Linked DNA regions of Drosophila melanogaster. The protein of the gene in region 1 interacts with the protein of each later gene in a pairwise test. Each region holds a gene or a part of one and is shown on either strand. Other genes may lie near its edges.

What was found.
Region 2: the proteins of CG8768 (region 1) and CG5828 interact in a two-hybrid assay, tested with the Drosophila melanogaster proteins (one large-scale study listed by BioGRID).

What each region holds. Positions count from the first base shown.
Region 1 is NT_033778.4:12,690,577-12,694,764, forward strand, and holds CG8768 (uncharacterized protein), read right to left. Parts: upstream 2,115-4,188; 5' UTR 2,044-2,114; coding exon 2,007-2,043; intron 1,948-2,006; coding exon 1,505-1,947; intron 1,447-1,504; coding exon 1,216-1,446; intron 1,160-1,215; coding exon 962-1,159; 3' UTR 732-961; downstream 1-731. Other genes in the region: Obp49a (Odorant-binding protein 49a), read right to left, coding at 34-240, 297-344.
Region 2 is NT_033779.5:5,091,687-5,096,426, forward strand, and holds CG5828 (uncharacterized protein), read left to right. Parts: upstream 1-2,289; 5' UTR 2,290-2,419; coding exon 2,420-3,505; 3' UTR 3,506-4,224; downstream 4,225-4,740.

The DNA.
Region 1 (4,188 bases):
CATGATCAAGAACAATATTCCAGTGGTACTAACTGGTGGGGGATGCGGATGATGATGACGACGCTTGCTCTCAAAGGATCCACTTGCTTCCCCATCCGGCGGCGGCGGCGGAGTCATGTCAAACTTGATGCACTTTTGCTTCAACTCGGCGGTCACGAAGTCCGGCATTGGACAACAGGTTTTGGGATTGACAAACGATGGCCGCTTGCTGCAGTCCACGTCAGCCGAGACGGCTGCATTCTGTTAATAGATTAGTTATAGCCGGGCTAGAGTCGCGTGATAACACATCATCATACCAGGCAGAACCCGACAACGAGCAGTAATAGCTGCGATTTTGAAAGCATTTTTGGTTCGGCAGCTCAAAAAACGATACTGATTCTCCAACCGACATGGGTCCCCAATTTATAGAACCCACCGAGAGGTAAAAAAAATATCAGCCATTGATGTATGATTATGATTATGTCGGTTTTTATAGCGTATTCACAGCGTGTGCAAGTCAATTAATTTTTTTTGCTATTAATTTAGCTTTGGTTGCAATTATATTAATTGGCAAGTAACGCAGCAAAAGGGATCGGATTTATCTCTTTATCTACCTTTCGCACACGTTGAATAATTCTTGTGAAATCCCCTTGTATCTACACGCTTTTATTTAGCTTACAGTACAAGATTACATGTTGGTTTCGCAAAAGATTCCCCTTCAGGCAATTAAAGTTTATACACGTTTTATAAATCGAATTAAGTCAATGATTACATTTAATGTGGTACCAAAATAATGATGAAATACTGGTGGACAAGACTAATGAGTAAACAAATTAAATGGGTCTATTTTCGGAGGGCGTGATTCATAAATCCCCCTATCGCAGAAATTCGTTTTAATTTGCGCTTGGTACTAACATCTATTTAATATACAGACTGCTTTATAATAAAGCATACGTGTAACCAGAATTCAGTGTAGATTCGGTTATCCTTTGAGGGTCAGTTGCGTCACAGCCTCTTTGACGCTGGGATATTGAAATTTAAATCCGGATGATAGAGCTTTCTGTGGCTTGACCTTGGCACCACTTAAAACCAGAGCTGCCCGCTCTGGTCCAAAGATGGCTTGGACAACAAACTCTGGAACGCCGAAGATACACGGGCGATGAAGTGCTTTGGCAAAGGCCTGACAAAAACGTAAGATATTATAGTGTTTGTATTAAGAAGCTGTGATATTTTTACTTTGCTAAACTCCAAATTGCTGGTTATTTCTGGGGCCACCGCATTGACCACTCCTGGCACTGGTTTCTCTATGATGTACTGTATCAAGCTGCACAGATCGTGCAGGTGTATCCATGGCATTATTTGGTTTCCATTACCCAATGGTCCTCCTACGCCAAACTTAAAGGGCAGCCACATGGACTGAACCATGCCCCCGCCATGACCCACAACAGCGCCACACCGCAGGATGGTCTGAAAAGGATTAAGCGGTTTTTATACCTATTGTAGATGCTCTATAGTATTGACTTACGGTTTTACAATCCTGCTCACTACCAGTGTGTGCAGCCTCCTCCCAGGCCAAGCACAACCTGGACATGTAGTCGAATCCTTGCACCTGATCCTCCTCGGTGTAAACCTTGGACTCCGAGGGTTTATAGTGACTCACACCGCATAGATTCACGAAAGATGAGACCTGGGGAGCCGACTTAATAGCCTGAGCCAAAGTTTTTGAGGAGTTGATTCGCGAGTTCCACACATTCTGCTGGAATCCTGGAGTCCAGCGTCTCGTTGGATCCAATGTGTTCTGGCCCGTGGCATTTACCACGGCGTTTACGGATCCGGGAATACCATTCTTCTCCAGCTCGTGCCAGGTGATACGCTTCGCACCTGGCATGCGGGAGATCACCGTCACATCGTAACCCTTTTTGGTCAAATGGTTAGCCAGGTTGCGACCGATGAAGCCAGTGCCACCACCTGAGCGAGATTCCTGGTTATTGGTGGCTGCGCCCGATGGCTAACACCTTTGAACGTACCTATCAGAGCATGCCTCGACATTTTTGGAATAATCATAAGAGGTTGCTCCAAATTGGCGACTTTTCCCGAATTACGACACTTAGCAAAACGTAATGTAAACAAATCACAGCTGATGTGCGGAGGATGCCAACTCTCCAAGTTACAACTGTGTGCTGCCACTTCTTTTTTAGCTAGGCGCGAAAATTTAAATTTCGAAAGACTAGCATATATCCAACTTGCAATTTTTTAAGCGACTTAACATAAAAATAAAGTTTCGGGTAGTTGGTTCGTGATCCAGGTATGTGATGGTAGGAAAATGCTTACTCGCTTAAAGTGGACTGCTGCCTATTAAAGCCTATTCGAATGTTTGAAGGCCTTTAAAGGATCTTCACAATGTAAAAACGAGTTTTCCAACATGTTAAACGGTCAAGTAAATATATTATATTATATAGGAAGCCTTGAATGTTTTTCCATATTCCTTGAAATAAAGCTAATCAAAAACGGGCTTAAGTGATTTAGTATCGTAAATGTGCAATGCCGCCTGCTGGTCTTCCGACTGGAGAGGCTTTTAGTGTCACTCCCGCACAGCATTTAAGTGCACCGATAGGGGAAATAGAGGGCAGACACTGAACCTAAATTGCAATTCGCTTATCGCTTTAAGTTGAGCGTTAAAAGGAGAACCCAATAAAGCGCAAGTTTCGCATAAAATGCCTTAAGCCAAGTATAATACAAGTGGCTATGACGCTTTCACTCCGCCAGCGGGACTCACTTGTATCTCTAGATATGTACGCCTGGATGTACATATATATATATATATATATATATTTAGTGCATATTGGCAGACATGGGGCAGACGCATGGGGCCAAGTTAATGGGCAAGTTCAAGTGCAGCAGGCGACACAACGTCATATCCTTCGCTTTGCTGCGTGCCGTTTTGTTTTGTTTTTGCCTTGCTTTCGTTGTGGCAAGTCATTGGAAACTCATTTGCATACACTGTGCCGGCTCTTGCATTAACCGACCACCACTTTCTCCGCCCGCGCCCACAACTTCAGCTTAGTGGGCGTGGCTGCCCTTTTGGGCTAGGAATTTGCATTAAGCTCCTCAATTATTGCGCTTCATTGAGTGAGAAAGGCGCAGTGATGGCGGCGTAAAAAGGATCTGAGGCCATAATTACGAGGTCTGCTGCTTTTATCTAGTCCTGCAATCAGGCAGTAATCACGTACAGCCAGTTGAATAACGGCCAACGAGCGTGCACAGTAGTTTAGGGGGAAAAAAAAACTAAATATAACTAAATATATATTACTGTCTGCGCACTGGAATGTTGATATAATTACCACTTCAAGTGTGGTTAACTAAGGGATGTGATTTTTAAAGACTTCTACAAAGAGGTAATTGGTGTTTGTATGCTTAATTTCATCTGAGTATGTAATGTATCTATTACCTTTAACTTCCTTAAAAACTATGGCATATTCATTAAATGTGGTTCTTTAGGTTCTTACCATGTTCCAATGACACTCATCATCGATTGTCGAACGTGGTCTGATGGGTTCCGCCAATGGAACTTTAATTTCCATGGCTCTTTTGCTTCTGACACTTGTCAGTGATAAAAACAGGAGTGGAGCTGAGTGGGAAAACTTTCTAGACAAAAGGAAAATATGGAAACGTTGATGGAAAGGATCTGCAGCAAAAAGTTGTCTCGTGTCTCGCTGTTTGAGTTGCACTTCCGGTGCAAATGTATGTAGATACACAGATACGGATACCCAGCTGGTATCTTTGTATCTTTCGCACACTGCCGGTTTGGGGGACAAACTTCTTTGTTTGTTTTATTGGCAAACAGACAAACAGAGCAACAGACAGAGCAAGAGAGCCGCAACAAAGTTGCAAAGTCAATGGCACAAACATGGACGAATATCCGAATATGCATCCAAATGCACCCATCCACATTCACCCACCGGAGTGATTTGTGTTGCACGTGGGTGGTGGTGCTGCCATGGATCGGAATCCACATCTCGCTGGCCATTGACACACCGCAACACACTCCGTGACAGTTTTATGTGCGGTTTGTGTCGCTCCTTTGCCGCCTTGCGGTTGTCTGGCGGGGATTGGGGACTGGCCACTGCTGTCGATCGGGACTGGGCATGAGGAGCGGATCGGGTCGGATTAGCCGGGTCTGACAGTTGGTCACCTCGGTGGCACAGCATA
Region 2 (4,740 bases), on another chromosome or scaffold:
CCGAGGTCAGGTTGCTATAATTTAGGGGGCAGTTGGGCGAACAGTGGGCGTGGCTCCCCAGGTGCAAGGTGGATCGACATTCTTTGAGCGGAACGGTAGCCAAAAAACCTTCAACCGGAGGTAGCTGCATTATTGCTATTCAAAAATTTGCTTTTTCGTGGAATTTTGTATTTCATTTAGTAGATAAGGCTACTTAGATTCAACTGAAATCCGCAAGAAAGCTAAATAAATACAAGTCTGGCACTTCCGACAAATATTTTTCGCAATTTTATCTTTATTTAGTCCAGAAAAATGTTTCAAAAGATTTAATACTATCAATCACGTTTTAGTTTTGGCGACAACTATGAAGTAATCGTATAGATAAGGCCCATTAAGTAATATCGCAAAGCATTCAGCCATAACAAGCAACCAATTTTGTCAATCAGTAAAATTTGTAGGAACTGCTTCCGCGAAATCTTTCCCACAATCAGTGTTTTTACTTTTTGTGTCTTCTAGGCATTGGATTTACCCAACGAGAAGTCACGACCCAAGTGAGCATTATTTTCCGCCGATCCGGCGGTCACTATCATCATTACAGTGCGGCCGATAAGTACGTGGCCCATTGTCATTTAGTCATTAGCTTTGGGCCTTAATTGCAGGTGGAAAGCGGCGACCTTAATGCATTCGGTTCCACAGTGCGATTGATAAAAAGAAATGCATTTGCAATGCTTAAATGGGAGCAGAAAAAATAAGGAAAACATTCTAAGTAGACATAGTTATCTGAGTCCATCAGAAGATTTCCGGTAATTATAAGAGTATTATGAGTTTCTAACTATTTAAAATCAAAATTTAATGATTTAATTCAAAAAATCTTGAAAAAGACAAAATCTTTTAAGAATAACTGTTGCTTCTGATAAGAAGAAATGTATTTATTTACGCTTACTATAAGATTGAAAATCCTCCCCAAATACTAGATACCCTATTGAAAACTAGGTAATTTAACGAGTATTGACCAGGAGAACTGCATTTAACCAGAAAACCAAGAAGACGAATCTTTAGCGGATTTTATTTACACGAACCGGTTTAATTGGCTCGACCTCCAATCAGAATCAAGTTCACGAACGCACTGGCATTAAGAGTCCAATAAGTAAGTGCATTGGGGGAAATACAAATGGAAACAGATGAAAAGTCTCGCTGGAAATCGCTTACCCAAAGGGAAAATCTCTCTGGAAGCTGCTGGATGAAAGGATGTGGGAAGAAAACAACAGAAACGTTGCAGGATTAACGCGAATTTTTTCCTCTTTCTGTTTGATAGTGTGTGTATGTGGCGAATTAAAGTGACCAACAAAAACAGACACACACACACACACACGGCAGGCCGCTCACTAACTAAACACACACACACAGAATCGTACGCACCGCAAGAGAGCGAAAGAGATGGATGGAGCGAGGGGAGATTCGGAAATTGAACACGTTTGCCGCGATTCCGATTTCGATTCCGGCGGAGGGCGTAGTAACGTCCCTAAATTGTGGGCGACCCGGTTTATTTACACGTCCGTATGCCCGAATTACTTACATACATATGTGTGTATTATGGACCGCGCCTGCTGCACTTTCCACTACTACCACTCCAACTCTCTGTTGCGTACGCGCGGCTGTGTGTGCGTGTGTGAGTGTGTTTATGTGTGCGTATCAAGTGCACACGTATGCAACTGCTTGGCCGTGTGGGTGTTTTAAATTTGATTTTTTATCCGCAAAAAATTGCACCAAACTACTCACACTTGCACTGCACAAGCACTGTTAACTCTCTTTTGATTAATAATTAATTCATGCGCGACGCGACATATCCTCGTATCGGAGCAAAAAATTACGAAGAAGAGAGCGTTGCGGGTTGCTTAAATAGATTTTTCAGGTTTTTAGAGTGCCCAGCTGAGGTGTGCTGGAAAATAAAAGTGCGGAGGGACTAATGTTATCGATAGTTGCAATAAGACTGTTCAAAAACAATAGCTTAAAATTATTTTTAATGCTGTTTTTTAGTGGATTAATTGAATTGAATCAGTTGAATTAACTATTCTAAATCCTACTTTAATATTATTAGAAATTTTTAAAAATAAATTGTAAATGGAAGGGCAATATAAAAAAACAAAAAAAATTTATTTTGATATATATTCTATATATACATAAAATTTTGGGATTGGTACAAAGTAGTATTTTCGAACTGCCCGCCCATTTATCAGGTTTGTGAAATTAACGGTATAATTAAGCACGATAGTCGGCGAGTAATCGGCTTGCACAAAACGGAATACATTTAGTTATCGATTGCATATCAACTTCGCGTGCAATGCCCCTGGTCACACCTGCCATAATAAAAGAAAAACTTAGAAAAACGGCGATTAATTCAGCGCTGAAAATCATACGCCTCGCGTCTATCCGCGTCGCAATGTACAGTAGCAGCTTGCTGCCGGATCCGGCTGTCTATCAGCCGGACACCCTGGACCTGAACACGGATGGAAAGGCGGCGGATTACTGGTTCAACTGCTTCCGCGACATGGTGGCCAAGTTCGCGAAGGTGGCGGCCAAGTCACAGGAGGAGGATCACACGGCCACCCAGCGGGCGGAGCAGTTCCAGGCGGCGTATCTGCAGCGGCTGGAGGAGCACCAGCGTAATGTGCCAGTCAACAAGGGCAAGGTGATTCTAGGCACCAGTGAGCTTCTCAAGCTAAACGAAACCCTGTTGCGCCGCTACGGATTTACAGATCCCTGGCTGAGACAAAAGAGGCTGGAAAATGCATCGGCTGTTGCCCGCCTGAAGCAGCGTCTGCAGGAATTGGATGCCCTGGCGGATGAGGACACAAGGTGGACGGAGCTGGTACGCGGTGTCCTCGCCGGCAACATGTTTGACTGGGGCGCACAGGCCATATCTAACATACTGGAGCAGGACAGCAATTTCGGACTTCATTCAGCCCTGGATCGCATTGAGAAGCGACCCTGGTTGCTTGACAACCTGGACAGCTGGTTGAATCGCCTCAAGGGCGAGCCACACAAGTGCGCCGTGGTCTTTGTGGACAACAGCGGCGTGGATGTGGTTCTGGGTGTGCTTCCCTTTGTCCGTGGACTGCTGAAACGTGGCACCAAGGTGCTGCTCTGCGCCAACAGTGAACCTGCTCTAAATGATGTGACCAGCGAGGAGCTGAAATCCTTGCTGGACGACTGCTCGCGCGAGTGTGAGGTCCTGGAGCAGGCCTGGTCAAAGGGACAACTACTGGTCTATGCAAATGGACAGACTGGTCCCTGCCTGGATATGCGCACTCTCCCCAAGGAGCTGTGCGACGCCATCGCCGCCAATGAGACTGACCTGCTTGTGATTGAGGGCATGGGACGCGCCCTGCACACAAATCTGAATGCCCGCTTCGGCTGCGAGACCCTCAAGTTGGCCGTGATAAAAAACAAATGGCTGGCCAAGTACCTGGGCGGCGAGGATATGTTCGCCGTCGTCTGCAAGTTCGAACCGGCTGCGCCCAGCTAGTCCAGGAGCCACTACGTTCATTGTTATCCCTTGTTGACAAACAAACGATATCCCCGGTCCTTGTTCAGTTTGAAATCATTGTTACCGCCACCCAAAACCCACAACCCCCTAAACAATCCCATCCCTCAATCTACCGATGAGATTCATATGTGTATAAATGTAATCTTAATGCAAGTGCTTTCGTGGTCACCCCACCCATATAACCGCAAAAAAACTTTTAATAATTAAAAACAAGAATATATAATAACAAAGCCTTTTGTTTATCATGACGGCGGTTTATTATCGGTCATGGTTATATGGACTGCAATTTTGATAAGCACCGAATGGTGTGGATTACGCCCCGATAACGTCCACCGTTCGCTTCCAACGGGCATTTCATCAGCACGGACGGCTCACCCAGCAATTTCCCACCATAAAACTTGTCTGCTGTCTGCTTGATTTACATAGAGTCTGTCTATTTTGTTTGCGGTCTGCGGTGCGTGCTCATTCCTACGGACTGACTATCTCATTTATCTCTCGATTCGTGGTCGAAATAAAACAACAAAGTCATCGTAATAACTGGTTGATAAGCAGCAGCGAACGAAGCCGAGACCAGGAAATGCATGATCTTAAGCTAAATTCGAAATTAAATCGATCAACAGACTTAGGCATAAGAAACTTGCGAAGCTATTAATAAAAAATATGTCATTAAGATCCAAAAATAAACAAAAGAGGAAAATTGCCTGCAAATATTTGCCGTTCATAAAACGAATATAGAGTAGTGGGTCAGTTTGTTTGTTTCCGTTTATTGATAACTTTTAATCATGTGCTCAGAGTTTTATTAAGGCGGTTAACACGCAAATAAACTATATTTTTAAGCTTTAATGTAAGATAGTAAATTAAGAAACGTAAAATCATTAAAAATTACTTATCTTGCTTGATGAATACGAAATATAGAAATCAAACAAATAAGTATTTTCAATGTGCTCAAAGTAAAAAAAAAACATCAATTAAAGGAATATGAAGCATTTAGTAGACATTTAAGGTTCCTTGACAAATCACTCATGATTGAAATACCATCAAAAATTCCAAAAATAATAAATCCGTATAAATGTAACGGTCTTTTTAGATCTGAACAGCGTGGCGTTAACAGAGAGGTTTCCAGCGCAGACACTGTTAGGTGGCGCAGTGCTAACATCAGCTGTTGGGGGCGCGTGACACGAGCTCATCACTTCAAATTTTCAGTTGTCAGCTGT